Rhinolophus ferrumequinum: one gene and its partners. The protein of the gene in region 3 purifies or fractionates together with the protein of the main gene of each other region. This does not show direct contact. Links are inferred from orthologs where the notes say so. Each region holds a gene or a part of one and is shown on either strand. Other genes may lie near its edges. The genes, in order: ZNF644, CDYL and EHMT2.

Evidence for each region.
Region 1: the proteins of EHMT2 (region 3) and ZNF644 purify together in Homo sapiens (affinity purification with mass spectrometry; 3 studies listed by BioGRID and IntAct, with this or other methods). This does not show direct contact. The link is inferred for Rhinolophus ferrumequinum from reciprocal best matches to the Homo sapiens genes EHMT2 and ZNF644.
Region 2: the proteins of EHMT2 (region 3) and CDYL purify together in Homo sapiens (affinity purification with mass spectrometry; 4 studies listed by BioGRID and IntAct, with this or other methods). This does not show direct contact. The link is inferred for Rhinolophus ferrumequinum from reciprocal best matches to the Homo sapiens genes EHMT2 and CDYL.

Annotation. Positions count from the first base shown.
Region 1 is NC_046292.1:68,788,709-68,796,205, reverse strand, and holds the start of ZNF644 (zinc finger protein 644), read left to right. Parts: upstream 1-4,472; 5' UTR 4,473-4,757; intron 4,758-4,832; exon of another isoform or gene 4,833-5,058; intron 5,059-5,215; exon of another isoform or gene 5,216-5,477; intron 5,478-5,548; exon of another isoform or gene 5,549-6,150; intron 6,151-7,497.
Region 2 is NC_046292.1:89,086,076-89,093,152, forward strand, and holds the start of CDYL (chromodomain Y-like protein), read right to left. Parts: upstream 3,086-7,077; 5' UTR 2,831-3,085; coding exon 2,807-2,830; intron 1-2,806.
Region 3 is NC_046286.1:2,354,031-2,361,566, forward strand, and holds the start of EHMT2 (histone-lysine N-methyltransferase EHMT2), read right to left. Parts: upstream 3,066-7,536; 5' UTR 3,038-3,065; coding exon 2,758-3,037; intron 2,662-2,757; coding exon 2,443-2,661; intron 2,343-2,442; coding exon 2,089-2,342; intron 1,311-2,088; coding exon 1,226-1,310; intron 1,138-1,225; coding exon 1,097-1,137; intron 983-1,096; coding exon 827-982; intron 1-826. Other genes in the region: ZBTB12 (zinc finger and BTB domain-containing protein 12), read right to left, coding at 5,680-7,059. UniProt on the Homo sapiens protein: Histone methyltransferase that specifically mono- and dimethylates 'Lys-9' of histone H3 (H3K9me1 and H3K9me2, respectively) in euchromatin.

The DNA of each region.
Region 1 (7,497 bases), on a different chromosome or scaffold from region 3:
CTCCAACACTTGTTGTCTTGCAAATAGCACTTTGAGTATATGACTTTTGATCTCTTTTACTATAAGATATGTGAGAGCTGAATGTGTTCTATTTATTTTTACATTGTCCAAGAGCCCAGTACAATGCCTGAAACATTGTAGGCACTGCAAGAATATTAGAAGAGATGATGGGTCTGTATCTTCAGTGCATCTTTCGTCTCTGGGTAAAAAAGGATTAAATTTATCAGCCTCCTGGAGACCACAGCCATTCTATGTTGAGGGTGAAGTATGGCAATCAGGAAGGGATCTGACAGTTTGTAAGAGACACTTCAATGTTCTGGAATAAAAAGAGAAATGGATCAGAAAAATAAAGATGACATCACCAAGTTAATTTTTAGACCTGTATTTCTATTTCAGACTAATTGTTATCTAAATCTATTTTTGAAGGTTGCAACCACCATTCTTTTCCATCTTACAATATATTTAGAAAATTTAAGTAAATAATACATGATAGAGATTTTAAGTTTCAATTTGAAGACATTTAATTTCATTTACAATTAAGTTAGATATCAAAGTCCAATTGCTAATTATTATCATGTAATTAAACACATTTGTACAATTTTATCTCTCAATATTGATAACAAAGGAAATCAACACATATAGTGTAATATTTTGGCTTACTATTTTACGTTCATTTTCTTTAGTAAAGCACATGGATCGCTGAAATTACAGATGCCCTTTTTCCTTGGATGGATCTCAACCAAATATTCCGGAACATCTGGAATCTTTCACTTTGGAAAAAATAAACAATGAAGGCATTTCTTAAGTTTAATGTGTGTGGAGTTTGAAGAAGGCTAGTGAGAGTTTTTATCTTAACAGGAGAAGGCTGGCTGATTAATTACCAAGAATCCTGGAGCAGTGGCATTTAACTAAAGCCTCCATTTGTCTCTCAGCCTTGTGAGTCCAGTTGCTAGGTTTCCAAAGTTGATCAGACTCAGTTACTATTTCCCCTTTCTTCCCAAATCCACTGCAGTGGGCTGAGCCACTCCACTGATCTTGTTCACACCATGGTCCCCAGTGATCTTGTATAGCCAATGGACACCACTTATCTCTCATAACCTCTCTGCTACATTTACACAGGATGTGCAGAAACCCTGTTTTGTGCCCACCAGTCCCATTTCCTTTCCTGCAGGACATAGAGCCTAACTACATTCCCCAACCTCTGTCTAGAGTGCTGACTAGAGTGCTGACTAGTGGAAAGTGAGAAGTGACCTGTGCCACTTCCGGGCTTGGCCACTTCACCTTGTCACACTCATGATTCTCCACGTGTGTTCTCTCTCTCTTTGCAGAGGATCCAGTAGAAGATTCTAAGGGGATGGCAAAGGCATATACAAGTATATAACGGTAGGACCTTAGGTGCTTGAATAACTGCTCCCAGGCCTCCACCACCCGCTTCCCACTGACTTCAGTAGAGTGTGATGTGAATAAGAAAAAAACTTTACTATGGTAACCCATGGAGATTGGGGTTATTTGTTGCAGCAGTAAGCTGTTACCAATAGCTCCCTGGCTCTTGCTTGTTACACTCTTGCTTGAATCTCTTCTTATTCCTCTGTCCCTTCATTTCTTATTTTCTTGGACTTTTTCTCTACTAATTCCTTAAATATTTTTTATCTACGTTTCTGTGGCCCACTGTTTACTTTCTCTATATGTGCTCTGTGAAAAAGCTCATATACTCTCATGGTCTACTTCGGATAACTGAGAGTTAGAGTAATAAATGTGTTCTTAAATATTAGATATAATTTTTACTAAATATAGTTATACTAAACCTATTTTGTACCCTGTTTTACAAGGTTTTGTTTAACGATGATTTTGAAATCTTTATTTTCTGTTTCCTCATCTTTCCCATACCCTGGTAAATTGAGAGTTGATGATACCTTTTTGTCTAGTTCTTTTATTGGACTATACAAAGCTCCTCATTTATTTAACAACTACGTATTGAATATGTACAAGGAACTGTCTTATTTCTCTTTTTGCTGACAGTGCCTAGTACAGTACCTTGCATAGAGTAAGCAATTGGTGAATATTGGTTGAATTGAATTATTTATTGTATGCCCATTATGTGTAAGGCTCTGTGCTGAGGTTACCGTGAGACAAAAATAAGGTTTGATGTATTTACTTCTTCATCTCTCTCTATGTCAAACATCCTCCTACTCCACCCTAATTAATGAACATATTATAATATTTGCAGTTTTACAGATGAGACTGCCTTGCACTTTTGGTACTCAGAGATGGGTCCAGAACCATCTCTTGTGAGGTCCTAAGACAAATCCAAATTTTGACTTGACTTTATTACTAGGATGGTAGATTAATCAAGTGTTTCATTTTTTCTTTTTGCCTGGAATTCAGAAGTATTGGAATGTTGAGAATTACCTGCTTTTATCCAACAAAAACAATTGCATTTCCTTTTTGATTAAGTCATTTGAGACCACAGCTTATTTGAATATTTTATTGGGTAATTCCATTCACTGGAATAACTAATGGATTCATATATTGTCTAATATTGTCAGATTTTAACATATTAACAATAGCCAGGTCTTTCTTTCTTTCGCTCTCTCAGCCTCTCTCTCTCTCTCTCTCTCTCTCTCTCTCTCTCTCTCTCTCTCTCTTTCTCTCTCTCTCGATTCTTCATCAGGTGAATTCATCAGAGCACTATTTTATTATAGTGAGTAGATGTGCTTTGTGAATTTTCTCTCGGGGCCAAACTGTTTTTTACATCTTGATTTTCGTTCTCAACTACAATTTCCTTTTAATGTTTTTAAATATTTTGGCATTGAGCCACATAACTGGTTCTTGGATTTTTCCAGTTTGCCTGCTTTTTACAATTTCTTTACACATTACCTTATCCAAGCTTTCTGCCCTTATCTAGTTTTCTCCCACTTATAGAAAGTTTTTTGACATATATTTTGTTTATAAAATTTCATCAACTATTACTACTTTGACTATTACAGTTACTACTATTACTATTTCTTTAGTATTGCCATTTAATTGTTGAATTCTAGTATAAACAGCTTCATTAGTGAGATAAGTGTCTGATCATGATTGAGTTGTAAGTAGTTCTACTTTCTTGTGGTATGCTCTGTCTGCACATCAGTCAGTCAGTAGTGTACATCCACAACTGAGTTTTTTTTGTTGTTGGTAACTGTTTCTGTAGTGATACAATATTGTGAGTATATCCATAGTACATAGTACTTTTATTGTTTATTGTAAGTCAGTATTAAACTGAGAATGTCCAATTTTAATGGATTCTGTAGATGAAATGACCCAAAGGACACCCCACCATTGGCTGAAAAAATTTTTTTTTAATATTTTATTGTTTATCGATTTGTGTAAGTGAAGAAAGAAAAATTGCATTTTGAAAGAGTCCAAAGAGATGTGTGACTTTGAAAAAATTACCTAACCTCTCTTTCCCTTATTAGGTTGGAATGAGTTAAACAATGTTTGGCACATAGTAAGCGCTCAGAAGTGTTAGCTATTATTATAAACGAATGCAGCAAGTATATGTATCTGTTGTTTGGAACCTATGTTTGCTGCTGCTGCTGCTGAAGTCACTATCTTATAGGAAAAAGAATGTTTCCTACTGTTCTCAAATAAGTGTAATTACAGTGTATTCTTCTGAATGCCAATAACATCTTGAAGGTTTGGAGGAGCACAGATTATGATAGCTGCTAAACTAATGAAAACTTTTTTCCTTTTTTTAATGAGAAAACAGAGATTCAGAAAAGCCAAAGAATTTATTAAGGCAGGACTAGAAGATTGCTCTGAACTTGGTTCATATGAAACATGTTAGCAACTTCTTGTTTGTTCAGTTCAAAAGCAAAGACAGAAATAGCCTCTAATTTGTGTTTCTCAAAGTGTGAAACTCTGCCCTCAGACTCCCATAGTGGATGCTTGTTAAAAGAAAGATTTCCAGAACTCTCTTGGGGCCTACTGATTCTTTGAAGGTTAACCCATGCTCGCTCAGGTGCTTCTTATATCGCTTTAATTTGGAGACTCATGCACATTCAGTAATGCAGAGAGAAAGTATCATCAGACTCAAATTGGACCAAACCCAGGGCACCTTTGAGGGTAGGCTGTTCCGCTAATTGAGATGCCACATTTGATGCTTTGCCTGGCCATCAAGCATCTCCCAATAATTGTTCCCCTTCAAATCCAAAAACCTTCCTCTGCCATTACTCTGCAGTCGTAACTGGCAACTTGAGTTCTTTAGCTGTTTTCCTCAACAGTAGGAAAAGAAAAGGAATCCTGGCACGCTAGTGATTGTGGAAATCAAATATGGGCCTGTTCCACCTTAAAGAGCCTAGGCTTGCCTAAGTGTTTGGGTCTTGCAGAGTTTGGGCACCACCATATTTGGAGCGTGCCTACTTTGGGGCGGGAACCTCCTTGAGAGTGATTAGGTCAGCGCTGGGGGAGGTGACCTTGTTTGGTTTCTGGCACCCGACAACAGAGGTGCACTGTTTCTGCTCCCCGGTTTGTCTAATTGGCCCAGGAGCTCCACCAGCGCGAAGCTGCCCAAGAGCTCTTCACTGGCCACCCCCGCGGCCCGCAGCTCGGTAGAGGCGGGAAAGCAGCGCGCCTGCGCCGTGGGAACCGGGGCCGGAGGCGAAAAGCGGGGAGCGGAGGGGGGCCGTTGGAGCCGAGTAGCGTACAGTGCAGCGTGTGACGCGGGGACGCCGCGCGCTCCCAACGTCGCCCCGGTTTGACGCACACGGCACCAAACTGTGAGTTTCAGGGGTTATTTGGTCGGATTCGCCGGGACCCGAGTGGGTTTCGGGACTCTGGGCTGTGGCGGCGGCGGGACTGAGGGTGGCGGAAGAAGTTGGGGGACCCGGCCTTCGGCGCTTGGGCCCGGGGAGCTACGCCCTAGGCTGGGTCCCAACCATCCAAAAGGACGCATTTTGCCGCACAGGCTAAGATGGCGGCGGCGGCCGAGGAGGCGGAGTTGGTGCTATACAAGGAGCCCGGGCCCCGGGTTCGGGGAGGTGGCGGCCGCGGCGGCCGCGGGGGGCGGCGGAACCTGAGGTGAGCGGCGGCCGCCGCCGCTGGGCGGGACTCGGCGGAGGCGGTAGGGGGAGGACCTTTCCACGGCGGCGTCGGAGGACCCGGTAGCGGACACAAAGGGGCTGAGCTGGGCACTAGACTTGGGGGTTTTGTTTAGTCACATGAAGACGAGCAGCCAGTGAGCAGTAGGGGGAAGGGGCCCAGATCTGGCGGCTTGGGGAGCCTGGCGGTCGCCATTGCAATGCACTGAGTAACGGGGCGGTCCGAGAGCAGTCACCAAGCCCTCTCTTCGTGGCTGCCCCGGCTTGGCCAGAAGCGCCAGCTCTAGCGTTAACTGTACACATCCCTCCCCTAACATGGGACCAGGACCGCATAGCCCTCCCCTCCCCCTGTTCTGCAAGATCTTATGCCGCTAGGTGTCCGGGAAGTAGCAGCAAGAGGTAAATCGCTCAAAGTGTTTGGGTTGCCAGGGGCTTGGTGGGTGTCCAGCTAAAGCTTTTTGCTTCTCCAGGTCTGATTCCCTGGCCTTTGTGTCCCTGGGAGCTTAATCTCTGCCAGAGGAAAGCAGGTGTGCTCCACTTCTCCCGTGAACCTGAAGATGAGTTGTCCCAGACCCTTCTCAGTGATTGGAAACTTAGGTGGTGGAGCTAAAGGTTTCTTGTTACGAGACTTCCGCAGACGACTCTCGTGTTGGGATCCATCCATGGTTTAGCAACATTAGTGGAAAACTTTTCTTGAACTGTTTTAAGTAATACTGACGTAAATTTAGTTGTTATAGAACTTTTATGTTTAGACTTCAAATTTTGTGTGGTCATTGAGAAGTACTCAACAAGGGATAAATTCAACTGGGGGCCTGAATGATGGTCCTGTTTTGTATACAAATTAAATAATTTCAACAGAAATACCAAAACACCATCATCTATTCTGGCCAGTCCTGACTAATGCCAGGCTTGTTGCATCCGGATGATAGATTAAATTTGCTTTACTAGTACATTGCCTCTCTGCAGTAGTTTGGTTATATTTTTTGGTCCTGCAAGAAGTAAAGCATTTCAAAAATAGACAACTCAAGTTGCTCAAAGCGAGGAAACCGGCTGTTTGCCTTCAGTGTCATGTGTAAGTATCCAGGGAACTTGATGGCAGCAATATTGCATTGGTAGGTTTGGAAAGAAAAAAATAGTTTTTATGAAAAAGTTATAATTTAGACATTTTAATAGGTGTAACATGAAGTTTTGACTAATATTAATGCCATGGTATATATCTATTGCTGTTAAAATTATGGCAGTGTAAATGTTAGAATTTCTAACAAAGTTATACTGCGCTTAATGGCTGCATTATACTTTGTATATTGGTATTAACTAATTTTTGAAGTACAAAATTTGGAAACAACTCATGTTTTGACCATGTCACATTAACAAAATTATTCAAGTGACTGAAAGAATACTTAAACACGTTTCGATCACTAACTTTAGATCTCTGTTCAAATTTCAAGTTGAACTTTTCAACTTTATTTAAAATTTTCCTTTTCCTTTTATTTTCCCTCCAGATTTCCCTGCTTTTAGCTTTTCTCCTAACAGAGAACAGTCTTCTTGTATTAACAAATAGGCAATATTAGCATTAGCAAAATGTATTACTGAATTACACAGTTTTAGAGTGGAAGGAATCTCGAACAACTAGTCTTACTCTCTTATGCTATATTGAAGGTCAGAGATGATTAAGTTAGTGGCATAATGGAAAATTCTCAACTTCTACCCCATTGCTGTTTTCATTGGTTATGTTGCTGGCATGAGAAGGTGACTCTGTAACTAATAATGGTTAAAAAGTAAAACAAGGAAGTGTGTTTGAGAATACTTGTTAATTAGGTGCTGTTTATTAGAACTGACAAGTTAAAAGACATTTAACATGATATGATAACTTAGTTTTTAAAATACTTCCAGTGAAACAAATTCAGATAAAAAATAACACATTTCAGAGCAATGTTGCTTTTGAATTTGGGGGTTTTCAAAAAGCAATCTTTTTATTAAAACTTTTATTTATTTTAAGTGTGTTTTTCCAGGACCCATCAGCTCCAAGTCAAGTAGTAGTTTCAATCTAGTTGTGGAGGGCGCAGCTCACAGTGGCCCATGCGGGGATCGAACCTGTGGCAACCTTGTTGTTAAGAGCACCGTGCTCTAACCAACTGAGCTAACCGGCCGCCCCTCAAAACCCAATCTTGATTTAAAAAAAAGAAAAAAAAAAAGGTAGCTTGATAAACTTCTTGGAAAGTTTGAAATAACTGCCATTATTACCAGTTATTACATAAGAAATGAGATGCTGAAAACAATGGTGCTAGTGCCTTTCATTTTGTAACTGTATTTTAGTTGGGTAAGTTAACATGCCTTTTAATACTGGTTCTAGTTAGAAACAACGTAAGACTACTGCTACTGAGTAGTAGTTCTGTAAAATCTATTAGGAAATTCTTTC
Region 2 (7,077 bases), on a different chromosome or scaffold from region 3:
ACTAACAGCTCTTCCAACTTTGGAAGGCTGATGCTTCACCCCATCTTATCTAGTTTCTGATCCTGTATTTTTTATTCACAAGGCATAATTACAATAACCATTTAAACATTTACTATGGACCTATTACCACATACCAGGCACCATTCTAAGTGTTGGAGATCTCATTTCTTTTTAGGTGAGAAAAACAAAGACTTAGCAATCAGGTAACTTGCTCAAGTTCACGTAGCTACTGCAGACCTCTGCTCTTTCCATATCACTTTACTTCAAAAAACAAAAATTTGAACTTCCTCTTTGGTCAATACATATAGCCAAATGTGAAACTTCTATTTCGATTTAGGCAGAACTAGACAAAACTGGGCAACTTATGTCCCAGGCCCTGGCTACTTAAGTCCCTTAGTGCTCTCTGCATCCTTGCCAAACAGCTTGTCAGCACGTAGTGTTCATTTACAACTGCGTATCATTTCTGACTCACAAATACTGTCTTGGTTAAAAAAAAAAATACAATTCTGTATCTTTAGAAAACAAACCAGGCTTCGGGGAGGCGTGTTAGATCACTTCAAATAAAAGATACCCATCACTTACTGTGAGTGTCCCCATAATGGGAATTGTGGGGTATGCTTTACATATTTTTTCATTTAAACTTCACAGCTCTATGACATAAGCATTGCTTTCAATTTTATAGATGAGGAAACTGAGCCTTCAAGGTTAATTTACTACCCAAGGTGACAGGGTTGGAATTCAGTGTTTTCTGATTCCAAAGCCAGGCTCTCAACCACTATGCAGAACTTTCAAATATCAACTTTCAATCATAATATAGTCATAGTGTTGCCTACAAGTAAAGGAGAATTTGAAAACTTATTCTGAAAGACACTGCCCACCATATTATTTACTATCACCTCAACTGCACTCCTATATTGTTTTTCAAAACTACAACAAAACCCAGAATCAAAAGTTCAATTGTGCAGGTGTATCGTTCCTTTGCAATGTACCTATTTTTTCCCCAGTAGATGCTCTTGGAGGCCATGAACCATTCTCATACCTCCCTATCTCTCCCTATGAAACCTCCATAGGACATGCATTCAATAAACATGCTGAATAAACAGAAACATTGTAGAAAACGTGACTTATAAATAAATTCTGCCAAGAAAGTAGTAAGTAGAAGATAACAGAATAAGCAAAGAAAGAACTAAATTTAGTTCATCATACACTAGTGGTAAATGTATTGTTTTCAGGATCATTTTTATACACATAAGATACAACTTATGTATAAGGTGCTACCCTCACCCAAACATTAATGGTTAACTGATTATGTATTTATGATCACAAAAAATGAAGAGTGAATACTCAAGTCTAAACTATCACAGTATAATCTAACGGAGAAACCAAAACCCCTCACATCCTCATGCTGTGGACTTTCCCAACCATGTGTCTTAGCCTGGAAGACCTTCTGCATCTTAGCCTCTACTCTGGGTCTTCCCCATACACTTTCCTTCCTAGAAGGGAGGTCTTGAGAACAAGGAGATTATTTTCCCCTTTACACGCCCAAATGATCCAAGACAGTACCTTGACTACTAGGGCACTGCTACTGTGTAAAATGGTTTAATAGAAGGGAACATTTTCAGTGCTAGCTAAGGTACGCTGACCACATACAATTCAAGGGAAGACAACCACCTTACCATTAATTCTACAGAAGGCAGCCTCCTCCTGAGAACTTTTGCAAACACTTGCTTTTAAAAAACAACAAAAAGCTGCTAGAAGGCTATCATTGTTGGCAACAGAGCTCCATTCTGTGCCAAAAGCAATAATACACCCACAAGAGAAGACACCTCAAAGGGATCACCTGGTATTTATTAAGGGTTCGTTCACAAGGACCAAGGGACTCTGCTTGTTATAGACGCTTACTTAAGTCCCTAAACCTGAGGTCCCTAAACGCATCATAAAGGTGAATCCAGAGTATCCAGAAGTTTTAAGTTTCTTAAGAAGATACACTTACAAACATCTATGAAACACAAGAATCACTAATTCAAAAGAACAGAAAGCCTTCCAAGTGTCTGTGCTCCCAAGAAGTCTACTTTGAAATACGTCAAAAAGTTACATCGAGGGATACAAAATATGTTTAAAGATCCAGACTGATAACTCAAGAACTTGAAGTTGAAGCTGGCAAAACCACTGCCCATAACTAAGAGTTCTGATTATGCCTTTTCTCACTTACAACGCTGCGGCGCAAATGAATGACGGTGTATCAGCGTTAAATTTAAATTTCCTGGCTCTAGCCACAATGCTAACCTAATTAAAGCATGTGGTCAACGTTTAGCATTTTCGGTGCGATATTTTGCATCGCTTTGGCCAACAGCAGAATCGAGAGACAGTTGCACTCTTCCTCTCACCAACCCCCTTCCCAAAGCCGGAGGCAAAACCCTCTCCAAAATGCTCTATTAATGGACAGGAAAAGCACCCCCGCAACGCCCACAGACCCCGCCAAGCGGTAACGGGGGCTTCACACCTATCACCCTCGCCAAGAACACTTTGGACTCAGTCTGAGCAAGTCACTCGTGCAAGCGCTACTTCCCCACGGCCGGGACCCCCCCACCCCCAGGAGCCCGACAACTCCGGGGAGCACCTCCGCCCGCGGGGCCCCCGGGGCAGCGTGGCTCGGGCTCCCCTCGCACACATTTCCCGTCCAGCAAACTGCGGCCGCGGAGGGGGAGGGGGCGAGGCTGGCGACGGCGGCTGAGCCGGGCCGTCGGGCCGGGCCGGGGCGGCGAGCGGGGGCGGCCCGAGGGTCTGGGAGGGGGAGGGGAGGTACCTCGTACAGCTCCTCGGAAGCCATGGTGGGCAGCGGAGTTGCGGACAGGCAGGAGGGGCAGGGTTGGGGCGAGGCGCCGTCGCCGCCGGGCGGCCGACACTTTGTTTCAGTTGGGTCCCTGCGTGGCCTGCGCTTCCTGCTCCCGCTCCCGGCGCCGGGAGCTCAGCACTGACGAGCCTCTCACACTCACTGCCAGTGCGGGCCGGCGGCCGCGGCGGGGTTGTGCGCAGGAGCAGCTGCGCAACGCGCCCTCCGCTCACTCCCCGGCGGACCGGCTCGGGCTCGGGCTCATCGCGCCCCGCCGCGGGGCCAGGCTGGGGCGGGCGCGGCGGCGGTGCACGGCGGCGCGGCTGGCTCCGTGGCTCCCCCTCTCCGGTGTAGTGCAAAAAGCTTCCTACTTGCGACCAAAAAACCTGCCCCGGCTACTGAGCATGCCCAGTGAGGCCGCCCGGGCCCGGCGGAGCCGCGCTCCTGCGTTCCGGGTTTTCGGGCCGCCCGCCCGGGAGAGGCCGGCGGGGCGGGGCAGCGGAGAGGAGCAGTGGGCTCCGCTCCCGGGGAAGGCAGGCGGGTGACCGCGGTGAGGGATCCGGCAGGAAGGGGAGTGGCCATGGAGCGGTGGGCGGGGTCATGGCGAGATGAGGGCGGGACCGAGAGGACGGTGGGCGGGGCTCTGACTTCCCCAAGTTCCCTCCGCCAGGTCCGAGCCGGCCCAGGCGCCGCCCGCCTGCCCGCCTCGACGTGGGTGCTGGGTGCCGGAGCCCAGTACCCAGTGGGGCAACGCATCTGCGGACCCGAAATTGAGCAGGGGACCGTGGGGGTGTGCCAGCCCGCGTCTGGAGTCCACTGCCCCGACGGCAGCGGCCGTGCGGACAAATGCATGGCTTTTCTCCTGGAGAGCGCAGAGCTCCCACCACCGAGCGTCCGCCGCAGTCACCGGTCCCGGGCCAGGCCAGCCCTCAGAGGGCTGGCGGCGTGGCCAGGTGGAACACCCCCGCCCTACCACGTGCCCGCCTCCCCGGCGGCAACCGCCAACACCCGGAGCCCGGACCACGTGCCCCGCGATGTGGCCCGGCGCGCTCCGGGCAAGCTCGGTCCGCGGCAGGCTGGGGGTGGGAGCCTGGGGCGGGAGCCCGGCGCAGGAGAGGGCGGCGCGAGGGCGCGGCTGCCTCCACTCTGCCCGCAGCTTCCCCCACGCCAGGCCTCCCTGTTCCTCTTGGAGCATCCACCTCCTCTGAAGGGGAACTAGGAGGAGGGGCCGAAATCTGGACTCCAGGGAGGTCTAGGTTCTACTGGAACGAAGCTGTCAGTGGTGGTCCTCCTAGGGGGGAACGGTGTGGACAACTACACCACGGGTCTCTCGGTCAGAACAGCGATGGGCTGGCCCGTGCTCCACTTCACAGGGGAAATGGGCAAAGTGGGGACGGCCAGCATGACTAGTGTCCAAGGCACACCTGCCGGGAGACTGGACGTTCCCCAAAGCGTGCGGAGTGAGGAAGGGGCTTCCTGGCCCGACTCTCCCAAACAGCCGACAACTCCAAACCTTCCTGCTGAATGCAGCGGAACTTCTCCACCGGGCACTGCAGAGACATTTTTCACATTCTCTCCAACTCCCTACACCTGGAAGCCACCATCAAAATCCTACATTCCTCCCCATGCATCCTCTCCTGCCACCGGTTCCTGGTGCTCTACCCAGCTCCAGTTCCTAACCGACCTCCCACCCACCAGGCTCCTCCCACCAGTTTTCTCCCTAAAACCCCATTCGAGTGTGCCCGGAATATACAGTTTAACAACCACAAGGCTTTTCACAGACCCCGCTGAGTTTCCTGCCCTCCCCACGCCCAAAAAAACGAGCACAACGCTTGCTGTTGATTCCCTTCAAGTCGAATCACCATTCTCTTCATACCGGTGCCTCCACCTGAAATTCCCTCTGCTTTGGAATGCCCCTTTCAATCTCCAGCTCCAACGTCACCTCAAAAGCATAGCCGCCTAACTTCCAGGGCAAAATAAGTTACTCCCTCTCCAGTGGCGCCTGAAGCACTCAGGAGTGCTCCATTGCAGCACTTAGGTATCTCAGTGTATTTTCACTGTTTTGTCCACTCTTCTCTCCCTCTTCTATTTCAAGACTATGACTTCCCAGATCTCATCTTCAAATTTGACTCTTCAGCCCCTGGCACCATTCTCTACATACAAAATAAGTTTTTGTTCAATAAAGTGGAATTCCAGTGTCCAAAATAAAGCCGGATACGCACACATCCAAATCCCATTATTAAATGCTTTAATAGCAGAATCACATTAAAGTTCCCATCTCCTTTGTCAAGGCTCTCCCAAGTTCTACCTTTTTTTCCCTGAGGGCCAAGCAAATTCTCTTTCCCTCCTCCAAATATCAGCGCCTCTCTCCTCTCACTTAGCAATTTCATTATTTGCTGCATTTGATTATTGTCTCTCTAGGCACACAAATTCATCAACGTAAGTTGTAAGCTCCTTGAAGGCAAGGACTAAGACTTTAACTGCGAAGTCTCAAGTCAATTAGTGCAAACGACTCAGCAAAAGTGCTCAAATACTTGCAGGAGATGCTTAAAAATCACAAGCATAATCAAATATATATAAGAAAAAAGGAATCCTCAATATGAAATGAACAGATATCTCACATACAAACCTATATACAATGATAGTAGACTGATATAAACAATTTTTTTCTCATTGCCATCGTAAGCACAGAATTTGCTACACATTCACAAGTTGCTCCACCGTATGCTTAGTGGCTGTGATATTAAATATATTGTTCTTGAAGTCTCCAATACTACCACTGTTACCAAGGGAAGGGAGAAAGAAACAAGGATAGAAAGATATCCACAACAACCATACTTATTAAGCTCATACATTTGAGGGTATATGCAATCATAGGTTAAGATGACTTTCCCCATTGTGAGAAAAAAGAGAGGAGGACAAATTACAGCCTAAAAAGATTAACTCCAAAAAGTCAATTTACATGGATGGACCTTTAATCCTGATGACCAGGCTTATTTATGATGCTATGATTATTCGTCAACGTTAAAAGAGTATCCACTGGGTAGAGATCACCGCCATAACAAAGCAGGAGTAAGCCATTCTCCTAAGCTCAGTTCCAGCTACCTCTCTCCTCCAACAATTAGTTGGTTTCCATCTTAATTAAGAACACGGCAGAGGAGACTGGTACTAAGGTAGCCAACTAGTGACTGAGATATTAAGCAAGTCTTCAACTGTCCATTTTGTTCCTCTCATCTGCCCTCCACCTAAAACACCTACCAGTTTATTGAATGCTATTTTGTTTATGTTTATATTTTACCTCATTAGTTCAATTTGTCTTACTTTTAAGCAAATTCTGCTTTCTTCCCTCACTTTTTTATATAAACAACATTTTACCAGTGTTCATAATAGAAGTAAATATGTCCAAGATTCTTTAATGGCTGTGAATTTCTACCTTTAATGAAAGAGTGAAAATTTGCAGTAGTTACCATGACCACATGTGTGGGTGCTGTGAAAGTACTTTCTCAGTAAATTTGAGAATAAAAGTGAAATCACATTTTCTAAACACATCAAGATATCTGCATTGTACCAAAAATACATGCAACACAATAGTATATACTAGTAAAATACATAAATCATAATGATTGTAGAAGCAGTCAACATCGAGAGGACATACACATGCGATTGAAATACTACACATCTATGGGCAATAAGTTTCAACTCTTACCTTCTGTGAGCCAGTGGTGGAGACCAACATAAACCAGTTTACTCCTTTTCCAAATTTATCTGAACAATTGGTAATAGACACTCAGTACGAATCAAGGTAAGACTCCAAATCAGGAGCGAAAGCTGTTTCTCACTCGCAGAACAAAGACTAATATATTAAATTAGAGGTTCACCCCTTTTCCCATTCAACAGCCCAACTGGTCACATCTTCCATTCTCCCAAGAATTTGCATTCCATCTACATTTGAATTCCAAGGCCCTGGTGAGGAGATGGGGGATGGGACTGGAAAGACAAAAGAATCCAAAATTTAGCAACTACTACCCTCAGAACCAAAGGCATTTTGAGTTGGGATGACTGGAAAAGCTGCCAATAATGATTCCCTTCCTCAATGTTGCACCCCAAAAGCATAATCTATTTGGGCTACCTCCTCCAAAACCCAAAATTTAACTGTGGTTTTTATGAAGAAGTGACCTATGTTTGTTTGTTCACACTGTGGCCAAAGATAAATTAAAATATCATTCTTGTTATAGAGTACCCAC
Region 3 (7,536 bases):
ATTTATAGAAATGTCTAATCACTACTTTGTGCACCTAAAATATTATATATCAACTGTAATTGAAAATTAAAAAAAATTATTTAAAAAGCCAGCTGAGTATTGAAAATTGTTGGAGCTGGGTGATGGCTACATGGGGCTCATTCTTCTATTCTTTTGTTTATACAGTTGGCTATTGAACAACACGGGGGTTAGGAGTGTCAACCCCCACACAGCCAAAAATCCATGTATAACTTTTGACTCCCCAAAAACTTAACTAGTAGCCTACTGTTGACCGGAAGCCTTACCAATAACGTAAACAGTTGATTAATACATTTTGTATGTTTTATATATTATATACTATATTCTTACAATAAAGCTAGAGAAAAAAATGTAAGAATTCATGAGAAACATACATTTACAGTGTTTATTGAAAAAAATCCACATATAAGAGGACCAGCGCAGCTCAAAGTGTTGTTCAAGATCATCTGTATTTGAAAGTTTTCATGATAAAACACAAAATAAAAAGCAAAACAGGCAAGACGCAGCATTATAGTGCATAGGCAAACATGTATGAGATAAACCAAGAGCAAAGGGATAAACGAGCAAACAACAAATAAACCATAAAATGGGATGCTAAACCTCAAGTCCAGGATGGTGGCCACTATGGAGAAGGGCACAGGGATGGAATGGGGCGCAGCATATATGGCAATAAGTTAACGTAGTGTGGGGCAGTGAATCAGGGGGTGTTCAGAAGATAAAAAGAGAAGAGTGACACAGGGGGCCACTGAGGGGTGACTGACACAGGGGGTGACTGAGAGTGCACCCGGACATGGCTGGCCCCTCTCACCTTGCTGTCAGAGTCCACACGCTCATCCACAGAATAGGCGTCATAGTAGAGGCTGAAGTCATCCGCCACCACCGTCTCCCACTCCTCCAGGGACCCAGGGTCCCTCTTGTCCAAGGTTATTTCTCCTGAACCCCGAGCAGAACCCAACTCCTCCGACTAGAAAAAGATCAGAACAATGGAAGCTCCTAGCACTCCCCCACCAACCAACCCATTTCCCTTGGAGCAGGCCCCCAGGTGGAGAGGCCTTGTTCCCTGCCTCTCGAGGCTCACCAGGCCACTTCCCGGGTTCAGCTTCCTCCTTTTGGCCACATCTGGAAGGAGAGAAAGCAGTGAGGCTTGTACCCTAAATCCTCAGGACTGGCCACATCAAGCTCCAGGAGGGTGGGAGGTGGGACTGACCTGAGGTCACCTTCCTCAGCGAGTGCATGTCATCACTCATACGGAAATGCTGCACTTCAGGTGGCCGCTTCTCAGGGACTGGGGGCTGGGGACCGAGAGGGAGCACACTTAGGGTCAGGGAAGGAGTAGGGTCGGTGGCCAAGATTAGCCTGGAGCCCCAGATGTGGGTGGGATGGTAGCCACACCCTCAAAAATGCCATCTGTACCTGCACTAACCAGAATGTGGCTATAACAACTGCTGTCTCCTGAGAAGTGTGTCAAGCACATCCCATACCTAACCCTCATTTCTCTCTTCAAGCATGCAGCAGGCCCTTTCTTCCCATATTACAGATGAGAAAACAAAGGTTAAGGCCTTGACCAAAGCTACCCAAACCACACCCAGAACAAAATGCTACCAAGAGCCCCCAAAACACAGTCATAAAGCTTGTGAGATTCTGGGACCTCTGTCATTTGTGGGCCATATCTCCTTCCCAGTAGGAGGTACAACCTTTAAAAATGAAGCAGGGGCAGTTTCAAAAACAGGAAAAAATCCTCTGGGGGCTTGCTTTGAGGTAGAAAGAAAGAGTGATTTGAAGTTTCTTTACATAGTCATTATCTTAAGAGTACTTAAAACATTGAACTATGTAAGTCTTTACTTTTGTCTCTTCTATTACGCTCTTCCCAGGAATTATAAACTCCAGGAAGACAGGAACCTGTTAGTTCAGATTAAGCCCCAACCCAGAATTTAAACAAAGTAGCCCCTTGATAAATATGTAAAACTGTGAACAGAGAAGGCCCAAAGCTAAATTGTAAAAAAAGCCTACAAGACGTTGAAGGTTGCTTACCTGGCCCTCCCATCCCCACAACCCTCTCACAATCCTCACCTGTCCATTTCCAGGTTTGGACATGGTTTTCCTGGCTCGGTGGACCTTGGGCTGCCCCTCCGGACTGGTTGTAGCTGGAGGGGGTTCAGGCCCTGCTGCTGCTGCCCCCTGGGCTCCAGGCATACTCAGCAGCCTCATCGCCAAACTCTGGACTGATGGGGGTGATTTTCCGGCCCCTGTCATTGACATCTTGGCACGGCTGGGACAGGCATTCCCCCTGCTGGGGGAAGCCGGGAATGACTTTGTGGCATGGCCTGGAAAACAGACAGGCAGGCAGGCAGAGAGAGGCAAGATAAGAAGGAAGGCAGAGTCAGAGGATACCCCACCTCACCCCCAGACTCCGAAGCCTCTCACCCAGCAGGATGCGTCCCCCTTGGAGGTCCCCATCTCCCTCAAGATTCTCAGGTTCATCCCCAATGGGCGGTGTGGCTCCTACAGGGGTGTCAGCCCCCTCATCGCCAACAGTGACGGTGACAGAGGCTGGGGATGAGGGGCCTGCAGCCTCCAGGGAGTCGGGGTTGGCCTTGGGCAGGGTCTCCTCACTACAAGGGGTGTCCCCCAAAGAGCCATGAACTGTAAGGGAAGAGAAAAAGTTCAGGGCTAAGGGCTCAGGGGATCTTGTATTTGGAGAGGTGAAGGTCCAGATGGGCCCGTTTCTGCTGTACTCACCTCTCTCGGTGGCTCCTCTGGGCTCCTTGTCCAGCACCAGCGCCCCCATTTCAGCGGGGGCCTCTCCCTGGGAGGCGACACAAGGTATAGGAGGACTGGTCAGACCAGTAGGAAGTTGGGGGGCCCAGGACGCCTGGGCCCTGGGGAGAGAGAGTAGGCTCCGGGGCCTACCTCTTCCTCTATGGGATCCCCCCCTTCCGCGGCCTCGGCTGCCGGGAGGGGCCGCACGACCCCTCCCCCGGGCCCGCATCAGCCCCCTCCCTCTCGGTAGACCCCTCATCTCAGGGACCGAGAAGAGAGGAGGGGGAGGGGGCGGGGCCTCAGCGCCCCGGCCCCGCCCCCTCCTCCCGGCTGCACGCGCCGCTCCCCCTTTGTCCCCCAGGCCGCGGGGACCCCGGGCACCAACCCCTCCAGCGCCCGCTGCCCCCCAGCCCGGTGGACGGCCCCTTGTGCCCCTCGCGCGTGCTCCTGGGGCCCCGGCGCCCGCCGCCCACTCCGGGACAGCCGGCGGCTGCACGCGCGCCTCCGTGCCCACTCCCCCCACCTCCCACCCCCTGGTCCCCTCATTCGCCCCCGGTGCTGGCCCTCCGGATTGCTGTAAGTCCCGCCCGGGCCCCCCGGCCCCGTTGCACCCCCGGAGCATTGCACGGGTGCGCGCTTCCCCCGGGCGCGCGCGCGGGCATGCACCCGCCTCTCCCCCTCCCCTTCCGCACCTCGGCGGCCGCCGCCACTGCAGCTCCCGCCGCCGCCGCCATCGCCGCTTGCGCTGGGGGCCGAGCCGGCGCGCGGCCGCCCCGGGTCACGTGGGTGGGGAGGGAGGGCTAGGAGGAGCCTTAAAGGAGCCACTGCACAGGCCTCTGGCCATTTTCCCCCGAGAGCGGCCTTGGAGATGGCAGTGGCTCCCCTAAGCTGGGCGCTGTGGGGGCGAATCCTGCCATTCCTAGCTTCAGCTCATCGGGGAACCGAAGGTGAAGCACGCCTGGGTCCGGGTGTGGGTCTCCATCCCCCACTGTTTTAGGTAACAAGCGGAGCGTCTGAGCCTTCCGGCTCTCGGCAGCGGCTGTATTTCCAATCTGGTCCGCGTGTGCTTCTGCTTCGTGTTGCTCTCTAGTTTCTGGGTCACCAGGCAGAAAGCTCGGCCTCAGTTTTGGCCTCGCTTCTCTAACGAGCAAGAAGGGGATGATGGGGACGCGCAGAGAACACTTTTACTCTTGGCTGGTTCTAGCATGCTGCTTCATGTCCCCCTTTGAAACCTGGGGCTGTCTCTTCTGTTTGTAACAGACATGTTATGCCACCACATGCACTAGGGATCCAGGTAAGCCTCCAGTGGCCCAAGGGTCATTACTGTCTAGTGACACTCTAGTAAAATAACCTTTTTTGCCAAACACTTCACAAGCATAGTCAGGCACTCCGTGGGTCATACATAGCCCAGCCCACACTGGAAGTATGAATGATACTAGGCCTTGGTGTACAACCTTGATAACTCTATTTAGGGTACCGTCCCTTTAAGTACTACTTCTGGTCAAAGTTAGGAAAACATCTGTTTGATTTCACCAGCAGTATTTGACACAGGCAGGTGGTTCGGATATAGGGCACCTGAGGCCAATTCAAGGCCTTCTGGGAACTGTAGTTGTCTTTGGTTAACTTTTCCAGAGCTTTCTGGGAATTGTAGTCTTCCCCATACCCTAATCCAAAGTGGTTTTTAGCTTTCCCGAGGGCGTGAGCCCTTTCCCCAGACCAAAAATGCCCAAACATAGGCTCCTGCTTACACTTTCAGTGGGCACAATGATCACACCTGTAGCATATCCCTGGACCTGATACCAAACTCCTCAGAGGAGCAGGTCATGTGTTACCACCACTGCCAAAGAAATCACAGAACACTTGTGCTGTGAGCTGTCTGCCAGGTGTGGAAGTTGCAGAACTGGGAGGGTACCTGTCAGAGGAGCCCACTTGTCACACTGCTCTTCTGCTGTCAAGGCTCCTTTAGGCATGGGACCTGCATGAGTTTTGACTTCTGGGTATTGAGCAAATGAGAGGCTGTCTAGGGTGGGTCAGTCATTTACAAGCAGTTGCCAGAGTATATAAAGAAAAAAAAATTGTTCTTTTTTTATTTTGTGGAAAACAAAAGCAGAAAAACTAAAAGCCCAAACTCCAGAAAAAATCCTAAAAAATACGTTTTGTTTCTTTAAAAAATACTGTATGTCTCTACTCCTCTCCCTCCCCCCAAAGAGCCCTTCTTGTGTCCTTTCATCTACGTGCCCTACCCCCCACCCCCTACTATTTCTTGTTCTTGCTATTGTACCCCACTTCCCAATATCTACCTAGGATGCTCACCCATGTTCTCTTACCTGCCACCTTACTTGTTCTCCCTAGAATTTTAGTGAGCCTTGTACCCACAGTCCCATTCTCCCAGCATGCAAGACCTGTCCCCACTTACTTTCCTGGGATTCAATAATCCTTCCCCCTACCAGTCCCTTTCCCAAGGATCTATTCTAAGCAGAAGCTTGTGAGCTGCCTCCTGCCAAATTCCCTCCCGATTCCCTCCCACCCACCCCTACCTCAAGAAATGTCAGACCTCTCCCTGGGAAGGCTTAGCCAGTAATAAAACATTTTCCAGTCTTTTTTCCTCCTCATTCTGTAGGACCCTTTCCCTCCCTCCACATTTCCATGCACCTCTAAGAGAAGACAATCTTTCTCTGGGACCCCATATTCCCTTGGCCTTCTCCAAGAACTCTCTGCCTCTCCATCCTTTTCTTCTGAAGATGCAGGATCTTCTCTCCAAGGAATTTGGGCGCTTCCCTCAGGATGTGTATGTCTGCTCAGGCTCCCCACCGTACCTGTTTGTCCCCGACACACACCCCCTATTCTCCTGGGCCAGGGAGCCACCTTCCCACCCAACCCAGGAACCCAGCGCCTGCCCGGCTAGCGGATGAGAACGTTGATCTCAGCCACGCTGGCCTCCAGCACGTTCTCGGCCGTGGTCTTGCCGTGCTGCTCCTTGAGGTGCCGCCTAATGGCAGGCTTGTGGGCGAAGCGCACGTCACAGTAGGAGCAGCGATAGGGCCTCGCTCCTGAGTGAAGGTTGAGGTGGTCGTGCAGTGTGGACTTCTGCGTGAAGCACTTGCCGCAGATGCCACAAGAGTGTGACTTGACGCCGCGGTGCACGTTCATGTGGCGGTTGAGGTTGCTGCTGTGGTTGAACTGCTTGCCGCAGCGCGGGCACATGAAGATGAAGTGTTGTGCCCGCATGTGGAAGACCAGCTTCTCCACGCCCTGGAACACTTCCGGGCACTTGGTGCACTTGATGTTTTTTAGGGGGTTTGTACTGGAGAAGCCCCCTGGCAGAGGGCCCCGGCTGCCCCCTGCCCCCAGGCTGCCCCCCGCCCCCCGGGCAGCCATGGCCACCGCTGCTGCCTCTACTAGGCCCGAAGTGGCCCCCACGCTGGCCCGGCCTCCGGGGATCAACAGCAGGCCCTCCCCTTCTGCGTCCTCAGACAGGCTGTAGCAGGCTTTCACCACACCCTGTGGTGGGGCCACAGTGCTGGGGGGCACGCTGCTCTGGGCCAGCTCCCCCAGGTGGCTGCCCACTGAGCCACTGATGCCCAGACCTCCTCCTAGGCCTCCGGGAGGTTTGAGCCGGTGTGCCACCTCCAGGGCCGACTCCACCTTGACGATGCAGATGTCAGACACATCCTCGTCCTCATCCTCATCCTCTTCCTCCGCCTTCAGCTCCAGGTCCTCATCCAGTGGGAACTCCAGCTTCACAGGCCGCAGCAGCGGAGGAGGTAGAGGGGGTGGGGGGGGAGGTTTGGGGGCTGGCTTAGGGGTCCTGGCAGGAGGAAGGAGGGATTTGGTAGCACTGACACTGCTCACAAGGCTGGCATCGCTGACCCCATCCTCTTTGAGACCTATTTTGGGCTCAATGAACTGGCTGAGGGCGTTCCGGCATTTCTCTACCACGTGCTCCATCTGCAGGTAGGAGGCAGCCGTCAGGTAGTTAACGATATCCCTGACTGCGAATTCCAGGGCACCCGTGTAACAGGAGAGCAGGAGGTCGGCCACGATGCGTGCACTGTGCATCAATGAGACCTGCAGCTCAGAGCTGGGGTTCAGCAGGAACTGGTCCCGCAGGAAAGGGGAGCAGGCAGCCAGGATGACCTTGTGGCCGCGGAACTTGAGGCTGTCGGCCACAATGGTCACGTCGCAGAACCGCTCCTCTGCGCGGAGCTGGTTCATGTTCCGCAGCGTAGCGGCCTCGTGGCCAGGCAGCTGGAAGCGCAGGACTTCCACCCCAGAGGCCATTGTGGCGGGGGAGTGGGCAACCCTGGTTGGGAAGGAAACCGGTCAGAGACAAAGGTCTCTGGCTCTCCTAAGCCAAGGCTCCAGGCCCCTCGCCCCCATTCTTGCCCGGTCCCCCAGCATCACATCTCCCAGTCTTCAGGCCTCTTCCTCAGTTTCCCCTGCCCCGGGGGGAGGCGCTGTCCCTCCGAAGGGAGGGAGGCGTGGTTCCCGGGGGCGGGGCAGCGGCGTCCATACCCCCAGCCCAACCGCACCGCGAGGATGGGGAGAATCCTCGTGCCCTCGGAATCACAGAGGAAGGGGTAGCAGAGGCCTTGGACTCTAGGCTCTGGGGTGCCCAGGATGCAGGCTCTTGTCACCCCGCCCCCTTTACTCGCTGCCTCTTTCCTCCGCCCCCCCTTTGCACGTTTGCACGCGCCTTTCACGTCCTCCCCCCGCTGCCTGCACGCATGGTGCACGCCACCCCCCCCCCCCCGCCCC